Callithrix jacchus: one gene and its partner. The protein of the gene in region 2 purifies or fractionates together with the protein of the main gene of each other region. This does not show direct contact. Links are inferred from orthologs where the notes say so. Each region holds a gene or a part of one and is shown on either strand. Other genes may lie near its edges.

Evidence for each region.
Region 1: the proteins of PHF6 (region 2) and LYAR purify together in Homo sapiens (affinity purification with mass spectrometry; 3 studies listed by BioGRID and IntAct, with this or other methods). This does not show direct contact. The link is inferred for Callithrix jacchus from reciprocal best matches to the Homo sapiens genes PHF6 and LYAR.

Annotation. Positions count from the first base shown.
Region 1 is NC_133504.1:184,453,690-184,466,246, forward strand, and holds the start of LYAR (cell growth-regulating nucleolar protein), read right to left. Parts: upstream 8,024-12,557; 5' UTR 7,817-8,023; intron 4,733-7,816; exon of another isoform or gene 4,679-4,732; intron 2,113-4,678; 5' UTR 2,061-2,112; coding exon 1,939-2,060; intron 166-1,938; exon of another isoform or gene 96-165; coding exon of another isoform or gene 70-95; intron 1-69. Other genes in the region: ZBTB49 (zinc finger and BTB domain-containing protein 49), read left to right, coding at 9,032-9,123. UniProt on the Homo sapiens protein: Plays a role in the maintenance of the appropriate processing of 47S/45S pre-rRNA to 32S/30S pre-rRNAs and their subsequent processing to produce 18S and 28S rRNAs. Also acts at the level of transcription regulation.
Region 2 is NC_133524.1:129,925,072-129,937,190, forward strand, and holds the start of PHF6 (PHD finger protein 6), read left to right. Parts: upstream 1-2,499; 5' UTR 2,500-2,626; exon of another isoform or gene 2,627-2,837; intron 2,838-5,758; exon of another isoform or gene 5,759-5,839; intron 5,840-6,678; 5' UTR 6,679-6,724; coding exon 6,725-6,862; intron 6,863-7,104; coding exon 7,105-7,206; intron 7,207-12,119.

The DNA of each region.
Region 1 (12,557 bases), on a different chromosome or scaffold from region 2:
ATGCTGCTACTACCCTCTGTATATTTTCACATCTGTCTACCACACAAGCACCCCATCTATTTCACTTACGTTGAAAACCTCCTTGTCAGAACCATATCCTGCTGCCTCCAAAGTCTTCAATATCAAACCCAGCACCAAAGGTTTCCCCCATTTTTATGAACACCTTACAAGAAATTGATAGGCAGTATTTTTTAGTCATAAATGCATATATACTGAATAAACACAAAAGTAACTATGCAATAGGGCAGTCTTCTTAAATTACAAAAATTATCAATGACTTTCTGGTAATAGACTAGGCAGTCAATAATTAGTTGTAGAATAAATAAAAAACAGGTATAAAATGGCGGTACGAGATTTCCAACAGTTCTGGATATGTTAGGGTCCTGGAAAAACTCAATTTTGTCTCATAATCTTTGTAAAGCTCTACGGGGTTCTTCAGGGAAATGCTGGGGACAAGGCCCAGGGCAAGGTCCCCTAATGAAAACTTAAGTTTAACCTACTTTATATATCTAGCTTCCTCCTAGGGTTAAGTCTGAACAGAGGTTAGCAGTTTCTAAAAAATCACTGCTCTACAGTGAATTAAGAGACTATCAGCTAATGCCACCTAAATGCCTGAGAGGACACTGGGGCAGATGCTGCCAGAAGCCAGCTTCTTGCCTGGACTTTCTGCGGCCAAAAGGAAATCAACATGAAATTCAAGAGAGCAGCTCTCTGCAAACGACCCACCTTAAGAAATGGTGTCGGCCCGGCGGGCTCACGCCTGTAATCCCAGCACTTTGGGAGGCTGAGGCAGGTGGATCACGAGGTCAAGAGATAGAGACCATCCTGGTCAACATGGTAAAACCCCGTCTCTACTAAAAATACAAAAAATTAGCTGGGCATGGTGGCACGTGCCTGTAATCCCAGCTACTCAGGAGGCTGAGGCAGGAGAATTTCCTGAACCCAGGAGGCAGAGGTTGCCATGAGCCGAGATCATGCCATTGTACTCCAGCCTGGGTAACGAGAGCGAAACTCCGTCTTAAAAAAAAAAAAAAAAAAAAATGGTGTCTAAGGCAGGATCTGTCCTGCCCCTCCCCACTAACTCCTCACTTTCACAGAGCCTCCTCAGTGGAAGTATCTCTTGACACACTCTGGGGGCCAGGAAGAGCCTCACTTCCACCAGCAGCTCTGATTTTCTAGGGAGGACATAATTTTCTCTGCTATCAGTCATCTCCCCCACTGTGAGCTCATAAATTCACTTTCTGATTCCTAAGTCCATCCCTTCACTGTGATAAGCACATGATACCATGGTCTAACAAAACCAGCTCTAACCCCCTAGAGCCATATTCCATGTGTTGCTTCCTTGGGTCTGGTAACAGTGGCAATGGAATAGCAACCAGTGTCACCAACTGAATGCTCTAATCATAATTCCCCTTCCCCTAGTCTTCTCTTTAACACATCCTCAAAAAACAAATTGTTTAGTAAGGCACATTTGATTTCCCTCCTGAAAAGGAGTCTTGCTCTGTCGCCCAGAGCTGGAGTACAATGGTGCAATCTTAGCTCACTGCAACCTCAGCCTCCCAGGTTCAAGCGATTCTCCTGCCTCAGCCTCCTGAGTAGCTGGGACTGCAGATGCACACCACCATGCCAGGCTAATTTTTATATTTTTTAGTAGAGATGGAATTTCACCATGTTGGCCAGGCTGGTCTCGAACTCCTGACCTCGTGATCTGCCTGCCTCGGCCTCCCAAAGTGTTGGGATTACAGGCGTGAGCCACTGCGCCCAGCCTAGTAAAGCACATTGTAAAGAATCACATGAGTTTTAATCAATGGACCATACCAGTTTTTATTCTTAATTTATTTCCTCAAATTTGCCACTATTTTTCCAAGCTTTGTGGTGCCAAGCCTTCCAAAACTGGTCTGATTTACTATGGATCTACATGAATTCTGTGAAGCTTACCAGAAATCTTTGCCACAGTCAATGCAAGAAAGGCATTCACAGTTTCTGCAAACAGACACATGCTTTTCCACTTGGATTTTCTTCACTGATTCGCCACATGCATTGCATGTAAAAAATACCATTTTAGGTAAATGGCTAAATATTCGCTATCCAAGACAGGTTTTAGGTCTGGTCCTAAAAAAAAAAGATAATTATCATTATAAACTGAAGCTTCTCATTTCAATAAATGGCTCATGCAGCTAACTTTTCAACCATAATTTCACATGAAAATAACAGTCAAAGCTGATTAGCAATCTACATAAAACTCCTCCATTCATATAAGTAAAACTAACATTAACGGTGACAATGGCTAACATTTATTGTGTCCTTATCATGTGCCAGGCATTATTCCAGGGGCTTTACATGTATTCACTTATTAAATCCCCATAGCAACCCTATGAGGAAAGGACTATCATTGTTCACTGAGATGCAGAGATTACATAACTTGCCCAAGGATGCACGGTTAACAGGACCAGGATTTAAACCTGGCAGATTGACTCTCAAGATAATGAGCTTTGAGGGTGTTAAATCTTCCTTTCCCTAATATCTTAAGCTCTCTCAATTACATAAACTTAGAGAACGCACTGCAATTTAGGTGTTCACTACTAACTATTTCAGGTCCTCAAATACACTAAGAGCACAGCAAGAGGAAAACTGAGCGAAGTTTAGAAAGTGGAGAAGAGGCAATTCTATGGACATAATTGCTATGGCACTAACAGCATTCATATCAATATTACTGTATGTCTACAGATGTTAAAATGAGGACATGTGCCTCAGCTGTAATGGACAGGGGCCTCCTTCATGTGGCAGCTTGTCAGACAAGTCAGAAAGAAATGGAACCATGTCCAGGTGTCCCAACTGCTGGGTGCTGAATTACCGGAGTTCACGAACCCAGGGGTGCCGAGCACTGCTCCAGCATGAAGTATGCCTGTACACGTACATAAACATCATTTTAAAATTTCACAGAAATGCTACTGTGCTCAAGGAAAAATACATTCATCTAAAAGCGTTAGAGAAGTCACAGTAATTTTCCACACTTACATAATGTGTTAATCACTACATTTTAAAACAGTATTGTTTTACATTGTAAGTTTCACAGCAAACATACTGAGAACTGTTTAACCCAGTGCTTTCTTTCTCATTATGAAAATAAAGGTGAGTGTCAGGTAAACAGATGTAATTTACTTCACGGTAGGGCTTCATCCAACAATCTTTCAGATCTACCCTTGTTTTGCAGACCATTCTCATGCATGAAAACACCGTCGCTCCTCCACCAACATGTTCTGGATCACTGCTGGTAAGGTCACACCCAAGCAATACCCAGGGTTATTCATGTCCATTCAGCCTTGAATGGAAATGTACAACCTGGCTGCATCTCCAGGGTTTACGGAGGCCCAGCTGGTCTCTTGTGGAGCTGTCCTGTGGGACACTATCAGACATCAGTTCAGCTTCTATGCTACACACAAACCACAGAACCCTGACCCTGGGTCCCAGGCCCCACTCCTCTGCTCACTATCAGTGTACTCTAGTAAGCACGGGGCATGCGGTCAGCTACAACCTAGTACCAAATTCTCAGGAAAGAAAACCCTGGATGTGCTGCAGCAACTGTCATCTTCACATCTGGTTACTGTTAAGATGTGTGATACTACCAGGCTCCTGGGAGCTGGAACCACATTTCCCATGAGCCAGCTCCCTCAAAGCCTACCATCTAAAAAAGGCCAAGGATGTCCCACATGCCAGGCAACAAGAGCCGCTATCCTGCCTGACAAGGGAGAACAAAGGCTGAACAAGAGCCAACACCGAATTCTCAAAGAGCCTGGAGGTGTACTTTGGTGTAAGAGCAGGAATAACTTATTAATGTCACCAAGAAACAGATTCTCATCACAGGCACAAGGTGAAAGCAGCTGTGATATGCCAAATTATCTGCTGAAAAGCTTTCAAGTACTTTCCTAAGAAGATACAACAACAAAAAACAGTCCCTGAACTTAGATATGGCTTAGAGCTTGCCAACCTCTGTTGCTAAGGACAATTCTATCTCTTGATGGAGAGGGAGATGGGAGAAAGCAAGCTTTCAACAAGCCTTAAGATTCAATTGGGAGATTCCTGTCCTGGCAGGTCAGGAATTAAAGGCCTAGGAAGGAAGCTGGAAACAAAATATAGTGACTGAAAGAAGCAGTGATGTTGACAAAAAGATACTCAAGAGTATCTGTGCGAAACATTCGAGCTCTCTGGAGATTAGCCACACCCTACAGTGTAGTTAATAGCAATTCGGAAGATGATTAGAATCTGATTATGTGCCAGCTGAAAAATAACTCTCCCATCATTTTCATTTGGTCTTTGTTTAAGGCAGAATGGATGGATTGCACAGGAAGTCAGAACTCTGTCTCTTCCTGCCTTCCTTTTGATTTTACACGTGCCATGAAACGGGAACAGCAGTGTCCACTTGCTTGGCTAATGAGCTAAGGTCTGTAAGGAGCTTACCTCCCCCTTATTCAGGGCCTGGAGGACAGCCCAGCAGCTGGTCAAGAGACACCTTGATTACACCTCAAACCCGACCTAGCCCCAGGGGAAAATATCTGTAATTTACGCCATAAACACTTGCTAGAGCTTCAAAGAAAAGCTCAAAACCATCATAACCTTCAAAGTCAGCATAACTGCACAGTAGGCTTAATATTCATAAGTATAAATGCTACAAACTTACAAAAAGCCATCACGTGGAAATTCAGTCCCTCTAATGGAAGACAGCAAACATTGCCTAAAACAATAAAGTAAAATGGTATTATTCAAATTCCACAAGACTAGATAAGCATAAAGAAAATTTAATTAAACTTTCTTTAATTTTTGGCAAGTATGCAGCATTTATGCTTCTGAAATTATGAAACCTTAAAACTGCATTGAGACTTTGAAGACACCCTGTCTGCCAGGCTCAGATGTGACAGATTTCAACGTTTAGCCCTAAGTGTAAAAAGATGGCAGTTTCTTATGGGGCTGGATCGAAACAGAGTCCTCTTTTCCTTCCCTGGCTCCTCAACTTCCTATGCACGATGTTCAGTTCCAGTGCAGCCACAGAGATTCTGTACGCTTTCCTTCTAGCCACGTGGGCACGTTAAAAGAGAAAAGCAAGCAGAAGGCGGCGTTCTTGGACTGGCTGAGAGCATACTTCCATTCTTGCCCCAGGTAAGTCACTTTAACTCAGTTCAGCAGACATTTCCTAAATGCTGGGGCTATGCTATCCACCACAGCATCCGCCGGGGGTCCTCACTCAGTTACTCTGCCTGCGCTTCTGGCTGCCTCCTCGACTGTCTGTTCGGTCAGTTTACTGAGCTCTCATCACATGCCACACCCACAAAAGAGATGACGGAGTCTGCACAATAGAACACACGATCACAAGCGCTCTACAAAGCCATGTCCCATTTATGTCCACCAGGACTTCTATGATCAAACACCACCATCTGGAGGGAAAACCCAAGGCTCAGGAGGGTAAGTGAACTGCCCGAAGTCACAGTAAGTGGGATAGGTAGCCTGAAAGACCAGGCAACAAGCCCAGGTTCCCATCCTGCCTCCATCTTGACCTGCCGTGTCCTGGCTGTTTGCTTGGCTTTAACTCAGCACCTGAGACCTTGAGGTCCTCATCCAAAGAGAAAAAAAATTAAAGCCTCCACAAGATGACTTTCCAGTATAAACATTAGAACCCTAAGCCTTAATTATAAAGTCTGTGCGCAGTGGGCAAGGAGACCACCCATGTCACAGGAGAGGCTGTCAGCTGGGCAGCAAAGCTAGTTGAGTGACAGCAGCCAGTGGTCCGTAAGGGGCAGGGAACTTGATAGGTTTCTCTTAACAAGATGGTTGCCAGGTTTTGTTGGACTGGGACCTGACTTGGGTTGAGGATCTGCTAATGCCAAAAAAAATCATTAAAAACTAAATGACCTCAAAGCATCTTAACCTCCAAGAATCTGCTTATCTATAAAATAGATCTAATACTTAACTCAAAGCATTGGGTGGAAAGTTTTAAGACACCAGATACGAGAGCTTCATCCTCGTCCAATGTAGAAAGGTTTCTCTGTGGCCTACTAATTTGCACATCAATGCCATTACACCCAGCCCTCTCCCAAGCCCCAGCTCCATTAAATATGACCATCAACCCACCAATTTATCTTTATAAATTCACTCCAACCTTCTCTGGCTCCTCACCCCATGGGTGCCTACTCGACCATTACGTGCCCTGATAACATGCCCTTAGGTTTGGTTCTGGGAGTGGAATGAATTTTTTTTTTAACCTTCCTCCCATTTTTGTATTATTTATTAAATTTTTTCACAAAAACAATATTGACTATCTTTTATTTATTTATTTTTTTCCTGAGACAGAGTCTTGCTCTTTCGCCAAGGTTGGAGTGAAGTGGTGCAATCTCAGCTCACTGCAAACTCCACCTCCCGGGTTCAAGCGATTCTCCTGCGTCAGCCTCCGGAGTAGCTGGGACTACAGGTGCACGTCAACCTACGTCCGGCTAATTTTTGTATTTTAGTTTAGAGACGGGGTTTCACCACACTGGCCAGGCTGGTGGTGAACTCCTGACCTCAGATGATCCACCTGCCTCGGCCTCCCAAAGTGCTGGGATTACAGGAGTGAACCACAGCGGCTGGCCGACTATTCTTAAAATATCCTTTCATGCGCAGACAAACACTGACCTGCACACCATTACCACCACTACCACTGAAACAGCCCACCTGAGGGGTCTGGCTGGCAACCCCAGGACATTCCCCCACTGAGCACTGTGACCCTGAGCATGCCACTGCCCCTTTAAACTTGAAGTTCTCTCATCTGTGAAACAAGAAGTCAGGCCAACCAGACAACACTCAAGCCCCTTCCATGGGCAGCATTGTGAGAAACCACGGGTATGGTGCAGGAGAAGCACAAACATACTCTGTCCACCATCCTGCCTAAACCTTTACATGTGGGGCTGACCAGGGTTACAACGGGGGACATTCACAAGGCGAGGACCTCTCCCTTGTTCCTTGCAAAAGCCCTAGGAAGTAAGTGCAGCCATCTCCACTAAACAGATCAACTGAGGCTTACAGAAGCCATGTTTCTATGCCTCCCACCCCACCCACAACATCACCAGCACTGTTTTAAACACTATCCCTTCAGTCGAGTAACTATCAAGTGTCAGGCACTATGCTAGACCCTGGGAGCCTGGGGCACAGTGTGAGTAAGTCCCAAGTTGGACTTGTCTGCAGGAAGGTCCGGTTGCAAATACACACCCACCTCATTGCTCTCCCCCTCTCCTCAGAGGGAGGTGCTGCAGAGAATCCTAACATTTATGGAGCACCCAAGCCCTCTCATAGGAGGTTAACACATTTCTACTCATTTAATCCTCATCACAGTCCTCCGAGTTAGGTTCTATATGTTATGACAGATGAGGAAACTGAGGCGCAAAGAAGTTTAAAAAACTTACACCAGGTCATCACACATCCAGGTGGTGGCGACCCAGATTCACAGGCAGTTATTCCGGCCCGAAGTCCGTTCTCTGGTCCTCAACATCCTAAGGCTTCCTCCTTAGGGACTGAGGTCCCAAGGCTCAAGAGAAGAGCCCTGTCCCCAACATGCAGCAAACCTGAAGCCCAGTCGGGTGGTGACCAACCGTCCTGGTTTGGCCAGGCCCGAGGGGGTTCCCAGGACGCGGGACTTTCAGTTTTAAAACTAAAACAAGTTGGTCACCCTAAGTCCAGAACTCCTGCCACTTCCCCAGAGCCCGAATAAGATCTGAATGGAACTCCTTCCTCCATGCGTATGCTAGAGGAGCTGACAGTGGATCGGCCACCCAGTCCTTCCCCTACTCACTCTCTGAGCCCCAGCCATCTAGGTCGGACCTCTGGGCCACCGCCCCTCACCTCTCAGCCAGCGCCCGCCAACGGTTTCAACCGGCCGCAGGGAGCACGTGGAATTGCCGCCGCCCGCCCAGCGCCACAACTACCGGCCTCTCAGGCTTCGCAGCGCGGAATTCACTCCCGAGCCACCCGGCGCGTCTGCGCACCGGGGCCACACAACACCCCACCCAGCGGAAGTGACGCCAACGGAAGCGGGAGGGCGGTTCCTGCAAGCCAAGGGGGCGTGGTCGGGATGGTTCCGCGGCCGGCTGGGCCAGGCGAGCTGGCCTGAGGCAGGACCGCGGCGGCAGGTGTAGATCAAGGCGGCGGGGCAGAGAGCGGTCTCCGAGGGTAAGGTGGCCGGCCTCGCGAAGGCAGGCGGGGCTGGCGAGGGTGGAAATGGCCCGGAAGGGAAGGGAGGCCGAGCGTCCGAAGGTGGCCCAGTAGGGCATGGACCCGCAGCTCCCTCCGCATCCCAGGGTGCTCGAGGATACTGGCGGCCCCTGCGAGAGTCAGCGAGCATCTGCTCTGTGCCGGGCATCGCAGGGGACGCGGACCGAGACCCAGAAGGCCAGGTTCCGGGCCTGGGAGCCGGGCCTTCTCCCGTGTAGCTCCCTCGGCCTGGACACCCCACCCGCGTGCTCTCATCTCCAGGCTTTGCCCGCAGGAAGCCAGTCCCGCCCGCCTCCGCCCCGCGCTGCCCATCTCTCGGTTCCTGTTTTCTTCCACCCTGTAGTTGACAGTAGTGCTTAAGACGACAGAACCCACAGCCTAGCTCAGTCTCATTACGGTGTGGCCTCTCTGTGCCTCAGCACGGCATCCGTAAAGCGGGTATCATAGCGGCACCTGCGTCTCTGGAACCTTGTCTGATTTCATGAGTTGTGCATGTAAATCGCTTAGAGTACTGGCTGCCACTTAGTAAGTGCTCAATAAACGTTAGCTGTTCTCAGCCCTTAAGATAGGGTCTGGCATACAGTGGTGGTCACTAGGCGTTTGTTGCTTAAAGGAATGAATGAAAGTTGAATGGAGGATGTACAGAGTATTGTGAGAAACCTTAACCCCAAGGTGTGTGTAATGTGGGCGATAAGGAAGGTTTCACTCTGGAAATGAGCAGTGTTGGGCCTGGAATAGAAGGTGTATTCGTTTCCTAGGGCTGCAAACAAAATGCCGGGTGGCTTAAACACCAGAAATGTATTTTCTCACAGTTCTGGAGGTTAGAAGTCCAAGATCAAGGTGTCATCAGGTTTGCTTTCTTCTGAGACATTTCTCCTCGGATTGCGGGTAGGCACTTACTTCTTGCTGTGTCATCACATGGTGCTTCCTCTGTGTTTTCCATCTGTGGTGTCTCTCTTTGTATCCCAATTTCCTCTCTTCGTAAGAACATCAGTCAGATTGTATTAGGGCCGACCTTAATGGCCTCATTGTAACTTAATTACCCCTTTACAAGGCTGATCTCCAAATACAGTCACATTCTGTGATTCTGGGGGAACAGTTTACCCATAACGAAAGGAATTGACAAGAATGGACAAGGGGGGATATATTTTCCAACAGAAGTGACGGAATGCACAAGAGGCTTAAAAGCAGGGTACTCACGGTGTCTTTTTGTGTTCAGGGCACATATGTGTAGTTCAGTCTTGTTTGCGCTCTCCTGCTTTTTTTTTTTTTTTTTTTTTCCATTTTGTCCCCCTGAAAACTCAAAAGTGGGTGAGCCTTCTCATTTTTTGTCTGGCAAAGTTAACTCATGTTTCAGCCTAGATGTGTCTTCCAGGAAGTTTTCCGTGACCCTTCCTCCCAAATTAATTTCTGCTTCCTCCATTTAATAACCCTGGTACAGTGTGACGATTGTTTTTCCCACTAGACTGATGCTTCGTGAAGACACGGATGACCATGTCTGATGTGTTTGCCATTGTACCTTCAGTGCCTAGAGTATAATGGGCACTCTGTAAAATTAGGTGAATGATCGAAAACTGAGGCACAGGCAGGGAATCATCTTGTTCCATTTGTCAGCATTCAGTCCTCTCGACAATTTGTTGTACTTATTAGGCACAGAATATCTGTTTAACTGAATTGGCCTTCCCGGTATGATAAGATTCAGTATAAAGCTAAGACAAGACTCCATGTTTGTTTGCTTCAAGCCAGTGCTTTTCTGAGTGGGGTGGAGGTGAGGGGCTATGAGTAAGCCATTTGGAAAGTATGTTGATGGGCAGACTCCTTAGGAGCCCTCTAAGGTAAGCTTGGTAATAAGGTGTGTGAGCTGTGGGCCCCTGAAGAAGTCATCTATTAATGGCTCAGCTGAGAAAACATCCACAAATTCTATCCAGTAGTATTTGACCTGTTGATAGAATTGAGGTGCCTCTGCTCTAGGAGTCTTCTCTGCAGGTTGAAACTCCATTCTGGCTCTTGTTTCCTTTAGAAGCATTTCTTCATTCACATTGATGGAAGCCTTTTCTTGTTTCTTTTCCCCCCATATTTTCATTTGTTGCCATTCATACCATCTTTCCACCATCACATTCCTTGAGATTTGTAGCTTTTAGAACAAGAAGAAACCTTAGAGCTCATCTAGTCCAGTGGGGGACTCCTCCATTGTTATGGATGAAAAACTGAGGCCGAGAGTCTGATCCATTCAGAAATATGTATTGAGTGCCTACTATGTCAAAGACACCTCTGGTAGGTACCAGAGATACATTGTTCAGTAAGACAGGTGGAGTCCATGTCTTCACCACAGAAAATCTTTGCTGCTTGTCACCAGGTGAGTTAGCTGCAACGATGGAAGAGAACCCTGTGCTCCTCCTGTCACACTACAACACCTTGTGTAGCACACGTTAGTCATGAATTGTACAGTCCCTTAATACGGCGCTTGTCTGTGGGATTACCTGGACAATCAGGCTTAGGCAGTAGACTGAAGAGGCAGCTGATTCCGATCAAAGGAAGCAGTGGATGAGTGTGGCTTTGGTGTCAGATTCCCTGGCTTTGAATCCCACCTCTGTCCCTTATTGCTTACCTATTACTTTTTAGCTGTGTGACCATCTTCTCTATACATGGTCAGGTTTTCTATTGCTATGTAACACACTATCCCCAAATTTGGTGACTTAAAAACTATTTTATCTCATAATTCTGTGGGTTAGGCATTCAGGCAGGTGTCACCTGGGAAATTCTTCAATTCTATGTGGTGGCAACTGGGATCACTCAGTGGCATTCCGCTGGAGGAGGGCCTAGCCTGGTGAGGTCAGGATGGCTTCTCTGGGAGCCCCTGAACCCTTCTCTGCCTCCATGCATTTTGTCTAGTTGGGCATCTTACAGGTGGCTCAGGCCTTCCATAGCTGGTGTTCCAAAAGATGGGAAGTGGAAGCTGTTAGTTCTTCAGGCCTGGGCCTGGGAAATGAGCACAGCTTTATAAGCACAGAATCTGATTAAGGCAGAGCCTGCACAGATTCAAGGGAAGGAGACCTAGACTCCACCACCCCATGGGAGAAGCATGAGAGAATTTGTGTCTGTCTGAAATCTACCAACTTCCTCGTTGTTCTCACCTGTAAAATGTGGATAATAGTAGTACCTGTCTTACAATAAATGAATTCCTAAGTGTAGAGGGCTTAGAATATAGTGCCTGGCATCTAGAAAATGTAGGTATTTGTCATAATCGTTATTATTAGGTATAAGATACATTTTTGTTTATAGTTATAATTTACAGAACACATGAGAAATATAAGATACAGGGTTTTTTTCCCCCAGACCTTTTTATAACTGTATTGGGGAGGTACAGGATTGACATCATGAAGTTATTTAGAGAACTATACAAAATGATATGAAATAGTTATAATTTTTTTTTGAGACAGAGTCTTGCTGTGTTGCCCAGGCTGGAGTGCAGTGGCTTGATCTCAGCTCACCTCAACCTCCTCCCAGGTTCAAGCAATTCTTGTGCCTCTGTCTTCTGAGTAGTTCAGATTACAGGCGTGAGCCATCATGCCTGGCTGATTTTTGTATTTTTAGTGGAGACAGGGTTTCATTATGATGGCCAGACTGGTCTTGAACTCCATGCCTTAAGTGATCCTCCTGCCTTGGCCTCCCAAAGTGGTGGGATTACAAGTGTGAACCTCTGCACCCAGCCTATAATTCTTATAGTAAAAGTCAATGTGTAACAGTTCACCACTGCATAGCATCATATCTCTGGGGGTCATTCCAAAGAACTTTTCTTTATCACTTCTATAGAGCTAGAAAATGTCTAATTTTCTAATTAGACCTCTACCTAAATTACCTAGACATTTACATTTATATAATTAGACAGTTTTACCTAATTTTAACAGTTAGGTCCATGGAGGAGGGTTTCGTGTGTGTGTGTAAAATGTCTTTATTCCCGTGGGAGATAAAGCATACACTCCAGTGTTTAGGGACCAGGATTCAAATCTTGACTTTGGCACATAATAGTTGTATGATTTTGGATAAATGACTTAAACTCTCCATATCTCAATTGTTTCTCTTGTAAATGATGGTAATTCGGTTCTTGTAGAATTGTTTCAGTTAATGGATATTGTATTAATCCATTTTCACACTGATATAAGGATACTACCTGAGAGTGGGTAATTTACGAAGGAAGGAGATTTAATTGACTCACAGTTCCACATCACTGAAGAGGCCTCAGGAAACTTACAATCATGGCAGAAGGCGAAGGGGAAACCAGGCATATCTTACATTGCAGCAGGGGAGAGAGAACTGGGTGG
Region 2 (12,119 bases):
TGTCTGTAAATGCCTGCTGAATGAATGATTGAAGAGCAATTGGAGGCAAAGAAGCAACTGCAGTCTGGCAGTGAAAGTAGAGGAATCCCATAGTTTGAAGGCAAATGAGAGCAGGGTAGTAGATGCCACTGGAACAGGTAATAAGTAGGGAATCAGATCCTCCAGAGCATGGAAAAGATGTAATTAAAAGCACAGCTTTGAAAAGTTTTAGAAAGCAAGAGGTACAGCTCTTTCTGGGAGTCTTGAAGGCAGCATGGGAGGGTAGGTGTACAAGATAAAGTAGCTTAGCTCAGATGGCCCTTTGCTAAATAAGTCATGAGATTAATGCCTTTGCTGAGAATGAGGTGGGAAAAGTGAGATCTGGAGCCTGAAGAAAAAAAACTGGAAAAGTGTCGGTGAGAGTGTATCGGTGAATCAATAGAAGATGACTAGATCTCACGCTATAATCGGCAGGCATTAAGGCTTGTTATCACAATCTGATTCCTTTCTGTAGGCCTTGAAATAACAGGCTGCATCTAACAGTCATGCTAATTGGAACTGGCTACCAGACTAAGGGCCTGGAAGTAACTAGAGTCACTGATATATCCCTCTCCTGAACTCTCTCTGCACTTCCTTTCCATGTTTTAAGGCACTCACTGTAGTGTATCTCCTATTGTAACCAACTTTTTCTTGCTAGATTGTAAACAATTGAAGGCAAGGGCTGTGTCTTAGTTACTGTTGTGTTGTACCTCAGCATAGCGCTTTGTACATAATAGGCAGATGTCTGTGCCTGCCACACATTTCTAATACAGCATTGATCACATACTGTATATGTTTGTTTGTTGTCGCCTCTTTTTGACCATGAGCTCAGAGGCAGGGATTGAGTTGTATTGATCTTGGTCTCCATCGTGTTTGGAACTTAGTAGTTTTGCAAGTGTTTATTGAATCAAAGTTTGTTGAAATGAATGCATAGATGAAATAATGAATAAAAGATAGCAACATGTAGGGATTTGGGGGGAAACTTAAAAGGATGGCATACCGCACAGGCACCGCATTTTGTCACACAATCATCTGTCTCACCCTGGCATCAGTAAGTGTGTAAAGTTGGTAGAAAATGATGCTGGGGAACCTGTTTCCTATACAGCATAAATGTTTGGAATACACATTCTGGATCTTCTTATGCAAATCTTTAGCCACTCCCTTTCACAGCATAGGGTCTCAGGTTAAAGGGCTAAGGGTTCCTTGCAGCTAAATGGCTAAGTCGTCCACCTTTATTAGGTACCTATTTGAAAAGTTACAACGTCGCATCACCACGGTCACTGTTTGCTTGGGAAATCAAAGTTGACGTTGCAGACAAAAGTAAAAAGATTGACAAACAGTAAAGAAATAACATTGGATCATGACAGTGGAAATCCACTCCCACTACAGGAAAAATGGCTCTTGAAGAGCATCTTTAAGTTTTCACTGGTTACGTTTTTTTTTAAAAAATTTAAGTCTGTGAAGCCAGTAGAAAATAACAAAAGCTAACCTTTATATAGGGCATATTATGTGTCTAGGCGTTATTGTGTGGTTTACGTATATTATCTCATTTCTCATAACTACCTTTTGAGACAAATACCATTATGATCTCCATTTTGGACAGGATGAAACCGAGGGACTGAGAGGTAGTACAAAGCGATCAAGGTCATAGAGCTATTAGAAGTGGTGGAGCTGGAGTTCAAACCTAAGGGATCTGGCTCCAATACACCAAAGAGGAAAGCACTCGTTTAGGTGTCTGGTTTACAAGTATAAAGAAAATCACCTTCTCTTTTCTGATATGATAATCCCAGCATTTATGGAGAGTCTGTTATATGCCAGGGATGCTAGTAACACGCTTAAGTTACATTCTTTCATTTCTTCCTTACCACAAACCCATGAGGCACTATTTTTATCCCCATTTTAAAGACAAAAAAAAATTAAGATATAGTGGTTAAAACAATTCGCCCAAGGATTGAAATTCAGGCAGAATGACTCCACTACGAGCCTCTCAGTCTTTCCTGGTAATATAATGAACGGAGGACCTCAAAGAGATGCCACGAGAGTACAATGAAATAATGGACGTGAAAAGGCCTCAGCGAACAAGTGCAAGGGATAAGGCCTGTCTACGTGAATCAACGTTCTGAACTGGTTACCCAGGGCCCCTGTCCAACGGTTTCCAGTCCCAACCCTGCCCCTTCTCCGCCCAGCCCACAGCTATATCTTTGAATCTCTTTCTCTATCTTCGCGGATCCGGCCCGCAAACACTTGGCTGAGTGGCGAAGCGGAGAATAGAAGGTACGCGCGCGAGCAGGAGGCGGGGCCTGCCGCCTCGAGTCGTACAGGAGGTGGTTTCTGCACTTGCGCCGTGGTTCTGCGGCTTCAGCTACCCCCTCTCTGCGGCCAATCAGGGCCCGCGGCGCGCTCGGAACGTATCAACGCTCTGTGGGTCGTGTGCGTGCGAGGGGGGCGACGTAAGGGCGCTCCGCGAGCCCGTCTCTCCTCGAATGAAAGGAAACAACCTCCGGCGACAGAGCCCCGCTCTCAGGCACTGTCGGAGAACCGAGATCGACTTCTTTCTCTTTACCCTCATTGGCGCTTCTCTCCTGCCTTACGTCTCTGGGCCCTGCGGGTGAGTCCCCACGGAACCCTGGGGCCCCCCATTCTCTGCCCGGCGGGAGAAGACAAGGAGGATGGCGGTAGCCAGGCCGCCGCCCCTGCCCGTTGTTAAAAGGGACTCTTGGTGGTCTCGCTTTATTGTCAGGGACCCCAGAAGCGTCGCTCATTGTAGGCGCTTGGCGGAGAGGCTGCTGAGAAAGTGATTTGGAGGTGCAGAAGGAGAGGTTAGGCTTACGTCTAGACTTCGGGGGAGGGGGTGCAACATTTGAGGAGGGGAAAAACTGGGAATTTTTAGTTTTTGCCATTGCTTAGAACATATTTGGGAAGGAGAGAGACTCCCAGTTTGGGAAGAGTAAGAGGAAGAATTGTTAGGATGGCAAGAGAGATAGCCATACGGAATGAGAAAAAACTCCGGGGTCGAGGGAATAAGGGGTGAAACTGAGGTATAAAGGAAAGCTTACAACGGTGACTGAGAGAGGGCTAACTCTTGGGGGAGGGGGCATAAAGAAAGTGGTAGGATGATATTTTCCTGGATTCGGGAGGATTGGAAAAGGACGATTAGGGGATCCTGACTTTACGACGGAAAGGAACCTGCTGAAGTATTTTAGAGGAAGATAGTTTTGTGACTTTAGCGCTTGGTTAGAAGGAGATCTTGTAATCTAGTGTGTATTGGGGGAATAAATAACGGAGAGGATCCGGTACTTTATGTGTACCGTCCTTCATTAGATGGATGAACAGCGAGGTATTCTTTTCCAATTTCCATTCGTTTCGATATTCCGCGTGGAAGTTGAAAAATCTTTTGTTTTTAGAAAATCTTTTATTTTCATCGCCTTACTACGTAATGTCAGGTCTTATTTATATTGTTCAAATTCTTTCTCTCCCCTTGGGTTTGAAACAACTGGAAAATTCCTTTAGTTTCCTTTTGAATAACCGCAAAAAGCAGTGCGAAGCATGTAATATCGTGCAACCAAATTCAGGTGCCCTTCCGGTACATCTTACTCGTTTATTTCTGTCCACTGTAACTTTCCTGTTACAAATACTGCTTCTATGGGGGATCGAGTTTGTTATCTATTTTGATTTGTATATTTCAGTTTGTGTTCACATGGAATATCTCAATCTTCCGGAACTGCAGTTTTTGTTGTTTTGTTTGTTTTTCTGTGAAAATGCTTTTTCAGATTCCAGGCATTGAATGAGCTCTCGAGTTGGTTCTTGAATGCTCTCTCTGATGTTTCAAGTTCTTCCTACCTTGGTGCTTCGCAGCATCGCTTCAGTTTAGCTAATCTTCCTTTTATTTTTTTTCCAGGCATTTTAATTATGTATTTCACGCTGTTATGGTTGCCTCTTCATTTCTGCCTTGTAGTATTTTCCATATTGCGATGTTTCTTTTAAGGAAAAGCCTTCATTGTTGCGTGAAAGCATCAAACTTTGATCTCCGCATGGCCTGAAAGACCTTTTAGACTAAAATTAAAATGCCATATAACTGTGAATCATTATGAACCCCTTAGTATTGGTCCTTGGAATGCCCTTATTCTACTTAACTAGAGACCACAAATGTGACAACATTAGATAAAAATCTGTACTTTTATGATAAGGATATTTTTGCTAGAAGTCATTGTTTCCATGATGTTCTCCACTTCATGTTTTACAAGGAGACTGTAAAAAAATTACCAACATATGCACAGATGTATTATTTGAATTTCAGTGGAAAAATCCATTTAGTCATTGCACGTTGGGGAAAGTTTTTAATTGGTTTGGTGCACTTTTTTTGTGGCTCTTCTCACTTTGCAAATTAAATTTAAACTGTTTACAGAAAAAAATACACTAGAATATTTTTGAATGCAAAATAAAGTATACGTTTTTTTCTCTTTTAGATTTTGGGGTCTTCGATATCTAGAAAAGCAGGTTCTCAAAATTAGGGTGAGAAATGTGCTTGTATATACATTGGAAGAGGCAGAATTCAATATAGATAGAAATTTGGGGATGCCATTTCGGAATTAAAGAATACGAAGTGATTTTTTTCCACGCTAGAAATTTTCTTTATCTTAAGCCAGTTGTATAGCCAGTGCTAAGATTGTATGGAAATTACACATTTAAGATGTCTGTACGGATTTGATTTATACTGTGCCATCCTTTCAACTGGCCAGGATGACCGGGAGTAATGCTGAATACATTATTATGGTGATTTCAGAGTGCCTACTATTCATTGCGTAGTAGTAAAGAACGAATTTAGAACTCAAATATAATAGCAAATTCTGATGCTATTTACAGATTTCAGTATTTTGCATAGTTAATTCTAAATTTTGGGCAGCTATGTTTTTGATAAAGCAACCGAACATACATTTCCCTGAGCAAATGCAAACACACTTTCCTTTTGTTTCTTTTGTTTCTCTGTTATGTCCTTTTTTTTTTCCTTTAATCCTGAAAGTATTTGCTGCCTGTTTCCAATCAGTTTCACAGTTTATGGCCAGTGCTATGAATACAGTACCATGGTAAAGTATCTGTTGCCATTTGGAAGACTGAGATATTTAAAATTATAGATAGCATTAAGAGTTTGTGAAACCTATCAAAGCAGAGACTGTCAGGGCCTTTGAAGTTGGGTTAAAAAGAAAATTCTAGACATAAATGGATGAGAAGACATGTTTTCTTTGTGGCTTCAGGTTAAATTTTGATTAAGTGTCTGAATTTTTATATTGAAAAGCACTGAATAGTTTGTAGATAATACCTTCCTAGCATACAGCTGCTACTGTTCTTGCTGGTGAACAAATGCTTCTAAGAAAGCTGCAATATAGTGTTAGACAATTTTTTTCAGTGTAATATTATAAAACTTCACATATGTAGACAAATGGAAAGATTTTAGCAAATTAATTTTAAGACAAAAGTTTGAGATTTTTCTTGATTGTGATGTGTGTTGTGGCAACCTGGGTCTTCAACTGCTTAGTCCTGTTGATTTGGGAAAGCTATGCAAATCAAGTAACTAATTTTAAATTTCTTCTGAAGAATCCATATTAAGATTGATGATATAAATCTGAAATCTTTCATGTTAGAGCTTTCCTTCCCTTTTTTTGTTTGACTACACTGTATTACCTATAATTATAATATGACCAAATTTAAGGCTCATTCAAAAAACATTTCTTCCTTCACACAGTATTACTAATTTAAGTATGGAAGTTACTACATTTAGAAGACCACTATCAGTTTGTGACTTTAATTGACAAGCCAACTTGAGGTAAATCTTAGAGTCATTTAATACGATTGTTTAAAAAATAATTGGGTCTTAAAGTCTGCATTTTTGAATAGACAGTTTGAAGCTTAATTTTTTATTTATTTGAAAATGGAATAGACTAGCAAAAATTAATTTATTAAAGTTATATACCTGACTTTTTAAACCCATAAATAATTATAAAGTACACCAAAGTCATAGTTAGGTAGATTCATTTTACTTTTATTGTTTTATCTATATGTGAACATTAAGAAATTGTTCAAGTATTCTGAAGTTTCCTCAGTAGCTTTTGCTCTGTTCTCAAGAGGTATAATTCTTTATCTCCTTGAAGGGGCACCTAGCTACGCATGAAAAGTATTTTACATTAATTATGCCAGCAGGTGATAATTTAATATTATACATTGTATATTTTTATCCACACAGAAATAGTGTCAGTTATTTCACATATCCTCCAATTTGGGAACAGTTTGATTTTTCTCAATTACTCTAAACTTAATTTAGCTATCTGTCTATCTATCTGTATTTATTATGGAGGCATCAGGTTTTAATGTTAATTTATGTATACTAAATAACCATTTAAAACTGTATATATTAAAACCTAGGTCAAACATTAAGCAACTTACATGAATATTTATAAACTGATTTTAAAACAAAATGAACTTTGTTACCCTTCTTATTCTTTGTAGCATTTCTTGGGGCTTAGAGTGGCTTAATTTGTCTGTACTAAATAAACATTTAAAAATGTGTATATGAAAACCTAGGTCAAATTTTTAACAACTTACATGAATATGTATAAACTGATTTTAAAATAAAATTAACATTATCGCCCTTCTTATTCTCTGTAGCATTTCTTGAGGCTTAAAGTGGCATTCTAAAGGCAATTTAAAAATCATGTCAAGCTCAGTTGAACAGAAAAAAGGGCCTACAAGACAGCGCAAATGTGGCTTTTGTAAGTCAAATAGAGACAAGGAATGTGGACAGTTACTAATATCTGAAAACCAGAAGGTGGCAGCGCACCATAAGTGTATGGTAAGTATACTGGCAGCAACGGAGACCTTGAAACCATGCAAGAGAATCTTAATAACATGTGAATGTCTGAATACTAAAAAAAATGAAAAACAAAAAAAAGCTCAGTTAAATTTTAAGAAATGGTTTATCACTAATACTATGCCATTTTTACTAGAAAATTACCATTTAAATTTAACATATTTACTGTTTTACTGTAATTAATTTATATATGAACCTTAATTTTTTTTAAATGTAATTTATAGCTCTTTTCATCTGCTTTGGTATCATCACACTCTGATAATGAAAGTCTTGGTGGATTTTCTATTGAAGATGTCCAAAAGGAAATTAAAAGAGGCACGAAGCTGGTAAGTTGGTATTTCTGCCTCTTGAGAATAAAAATTATTTTAAACTCATTAAATCAGAAGTTGCTTCTTTTAGAGTGTATTGCATTATTAACTGAGTATAATTTTAAATTGCAGGCTTTTTTTTTTCCTGAGCCAGCAAAATCCAAGGCCGAGTTTATCTTATTTGCCATTCAACAAAAAGGAATGAGTCAATATTTATGCTATTCAATTTTTTTTGCTTTTCAAAGAGAATTAAAATCTTTTTGGAGGCTGTTTACTTAGAAAACAAGCAGTTTGGTTAATTTGAGTATATATTGTGTTAAAGTCTTCATTCAAGTTTATTTTTCATAATTCTGCTATGTTTTCGTCTCTGTGATAAAGTTATTATGGTCATTACAAACGAAGATGATAGTAGCCTCTCAATAGGAAAATGTTAGCACTTGCTGAAAAAAATATTTCACTGTGGTTCAGTTGTATAACACAGCATTTATGACTTTGGATAACTCAGTGAATTTCACAGGAGCTGTTGTTCTGAAGCTGCATTAGAGTAATGTTTCCGTAGTTATCTTCACTACCAGTAACCATATTAGTAAGATACTACATTGCTTTATTGGAATAGTAGTGTCATCTCAGTTGGTACTTATGACATATTATGGTTTGCTTTGGAACAGTTAATGGTAAGATTTATTTTTGTTTTTCTCATTTGAACTCTTTATTAAAATTGCATCAATAAATGTACCTTTAGTAGCTTCACTATCAAGTTTCATTTTTTAAAAGACGGGTTTTGCCGAACATATAACTGTGTTTGTAGTTACTAAATAACCTCTTATTTCACACAGACTCTGAGATGGTAGTTTTTGGATGAAATGGTAATGGGAAGAGGGGGGCTGTCATTTTGATGATCAGTAGTAATACATTTTAAAAAGTAGTCATCTGTTAATAGTTTTATATAAAAAGCAATATGAAGAAATATACATTTAAAGATGACATTTGAGATTTGCTTTAGGATGGTCTCAAATCCTAGCATCAGTGTTAGTACAAAGGAGAGTTCAGAAGTCCGACCATTTTTGTTGTAGCGGGACCTTAACTGTGAAAATGTTTATCTTCCCCATCCCAAAAACTGTAGATAGTAATAGAAAGCTCTGGTTCTTTTTCTTTTTCTTTCTTTCTTTTTTTTTGACACAGAGTTTCACTCTTGTTACCCAGGCTGGAGTGCAATGACACAGTCTTAGCTCACTCCCAACATCTGCCTCCCAGGTTCAAGTGATTCTCCTGCCTCAGCCTCTCAAGTAGCTGGGATTTACAGGCATGCACCACCATGCCTAGCTAATTTTGTATTTTTAATAGAGACAGGTTTCACCATGTTGGTCAGGCTGGTCTCAAACCCCAGACCTCAGGTGATCCACCCACTTTGGCTTCCCAAAGTGCTGGGATTACAGGCATGAGCCACTGCACCCAGCCTAGAAAGCTCTGTTTTTTTAATGTAAATTTTATTTGGTGGTTTCAAGTTTCTTCATGTTACTGTGCGGATATCTGAGAACCATAGCGCTATGTTTTTATTTCCTAGTCTTTAAAATAAGTGCAGATATAAAAAAGAATGATACTTACTTGAAAGTGATTGTGCTATAAACCTTATTACTCCTTTATTTATTGCTTGACATTATGAATCTCCCTGGAAAATATTTCTGTATCCTGACTTGTTAGCATTTTGTCACTTGATACAGCTTCTATCAGAACAAAAGCAGTTTTTGTCTCTAATGTTGAAATGTTATTAACAAATGCAATGCCTAGTGTTAATGTTACATGAAGCAACAGCATACATATGTCAATATTGCTAAATTCAATGGAGATTTAATTTATTTGGATCTATTTGTTAAAGCATAAGAACTTTTGTACAAGTTTCATTATTATAAATTGTTTTGATTAATTTTTAATGTTATAGTGTAGGGAGATAATTTTTTTCCCCAAGTGTAGCATGTTATAAATAACTAAACTTGCTCCTTGATTTAGGGAATGGAACAATATTGGGAATTGAGAGCACAAGATTTAGTAACAGACTTGAGTTTGAATCCCTGCTCTGTCATTTACTAGCTAGGTGATCCCGAGTCAGTTATTTATTTCTCTAGGCCATGTTTTCCTCACCTGCCTAAGGGGGTAGATAATGACAGTACTTGTCTCCCAGAATTATTGCCAGGATTAAAAGAGAAAGTATATAGGATTTAAGATGGTGCTGAGCACATGGTTAGGACTTGATAAATAGTAGCCACCACTTAGAGTTATTGTTTTTTGTTGTGTTTTGTTTTTTTTGAGACAGAGTCTTGCTCTGTTGCCCAGGCTGGAGTGCAGTGACACAATCTCAGCTCACTGCAGCCTCCACCTCCCAGGTTCAAGGAATTCTCCTGCTTCAGCCTCCTGAGTAACTGGGACTACAGGTGCCCGCCACCATGCCTGGCTAATTTTTTAAAGTTTTTTATTTTTAATAGAGAGAGGGTTTTGCCACATTGGCCAGGCTGGTCTTGAACTCTTGACCTCAGACAGTCTGCCCGCCTCACCTCCCAAAGTGCTGGGATTACAGGCGTGAGCACTGAGGAATAGTGGCAGAAGAGAAGAACTTTTGTTCGTTTCCCTCCTCTAGAATGTCACAGTTTAAACAACTTATATAGGGGATAGGAATGTGACATTTATAGGTTTAGGTTCGAAATAATTTTTGAAACTCCTTTTAGCCTTCAATTTTGCTTCTTTCTTTATATCATTTTTATATGACAGGCTATCAGGTAACCTAAATTCCAGATTTTAGTTTTATTCTCTATTATTCCTTATTTCAATTTGACTAAGCAATAAAAGGGCTATAAATCAAATAGGAGGGCAAAAAAAAAAAAGAGTGAAGAGCTTTATGTAACTAGATAAATTACATATAAACTAGGTAATCAACTTCCCTAATTGACTTTTTTTTTTGCGTGATGGAGTTTCACTCTTGTTGCCCAGGCTGGAGTGCAATGGTGTGATCCTGGCTCACTGCAACCTTCACTTCCCAAGTACAAGTGATTCTCCTGTCTCAGCCTCCCAAGTTGCTTGGATTACAGGCATGCACCACAATGCCTGGCTAATTTTTTTGTATTTAGTAGGGAGGAGGTTTTACCATGTTAGTTAGGCTGGTCGCGAACTCCTGACCTCAGGTGACCCACCTGCTTCAGCCTCCCAGAGTGCTGGGATTACAGGTGTGCACCACTGCACCTGGCCACTAATTGACTTTTTAAGGCATTTTATCCTATGAGCCTGTTTGCTCTGGCTCCTGTTCATCTGGATTTCTAGATGAAAAGTAGGTCATGAACACTCATTGAAAATCATCGATCCGGGCATGGTGGCTCATGCCCGTAATTCTAGCACTCTGGGAGGCTGAGGCAGGTGGATCACCTGAGGTCAGGAGTTCAAGACCAGCCTGGCCAACCTGGCAAAACCCCATCTCTACCAAAAATACAAAAATGAGCCAGATGTGGTGGTAGATGCCTATAATCCCAGCTACTTGGGAGGCTGAGGCTTGAGAATCACTTGAAACCAAGAGGCGGAGGTTGTAGTGAGCCGAGATTGCGCCACTGCACTCCAGCCTCGGGGGTAGAACAAGAGTCTGTCTCAAAAATAAAAGCGGGGGAAAAACAAATCATCAAAAACTGGAGTATGGACCCCTGAGTGCTTTCAAGACAGATTCCAATCTGTACCTGGTGTTGACTCCAAAGTTGCTCACTTGCCCCAAAGAAAAGGACAGAGATAAGGAGGCTGGGGTTTGAGGTTAAAATGTATGTATCAACAGCCAGGTGGGTCAGAGTTGTGGATGAGAGGGCCCAGTAGAGCAGGAGGTACGAGTGTATGGTTTTTATGTGTTGCTGCCACAGGAAATTTTCCAAGGTTTTCACGTCAGCCACAAGGATCAGAGGAGGAAAGCCATTCTGTATGAGCTTTTTCACCTCCTTTACACTATCTTTAATTATATAGCACCAGGATGGACCAGGGAAAATTTGCTAGAGTACTAAGGCTTTTATGATTTGAGGCCCTGTTTTTGCAGTTTAGACAGATATATTTTTCCAGGATATATCTGTCTGTAGGATTTCCAATTCCTACTGAAGCCATATGGAGATACCACATCTGTACCATCTATTCTTACTCTCCAGTCACCTAGCCAAGAAATGCAAATTTCCAAGTAAAATTATGAGTTATCATTGCTTTTTTGAATTTGTTTAAGGAGATACTTGAGAGAAGGATATTTGAAGAATTTACTGTTTCTGGATGAAGCTAGCTGGTGAGATCACTAGGTGTATCTACATTGGATAGCTATTACTCTTTTTTTTTTTTTGAGATGAAGTTTCGCTCTTGTTGCCCAGGCTGGAGTGCAGTGTTCCAATCCCGTCACTGCAACCTCTGCCTCCCAGGTTCAAGTGATTCTCCTGCCTCAGCCTCCCAAGTAGCTGGGATTACAGGTGCCTGCCAACACGCCCAGCTAATTTTTTGTATTTTTAATAGAGACAGAGTTTTGCTATGTTGGCCGGGCTGTACTTGACCTCCTGACCTCAAGTGATCCACCTGCCTCCTCAAATAGCTATTATTCTAATTGGTACCTGTGTCAGATTATATCACAGATTACAAGAAGAGAGTGTTCAGAAGGCCATTTAGTTCACCTTTCTTACCCCTCTGCAAGATTACCTGCAAGCCCTTCAAGATAAGATTTTTTGGCCTGAGAGTTGGCTCACACCTGTAATCCCAGTACTTTGGGAGGCCAACTGGGAGGATTGCTTGAGGCCAGGAGTTGAAGACCAGCCTGGACAACAAAGCGAGATCCCTATCTCTACAAAAAAATTTAAAAATTTTGAAATGTGTTGTGTTTCTGTAGGCCTAGTTACTCAAGAGGCTGAGATGGGAGGATTGCTTAAGCTCAGGAGTTT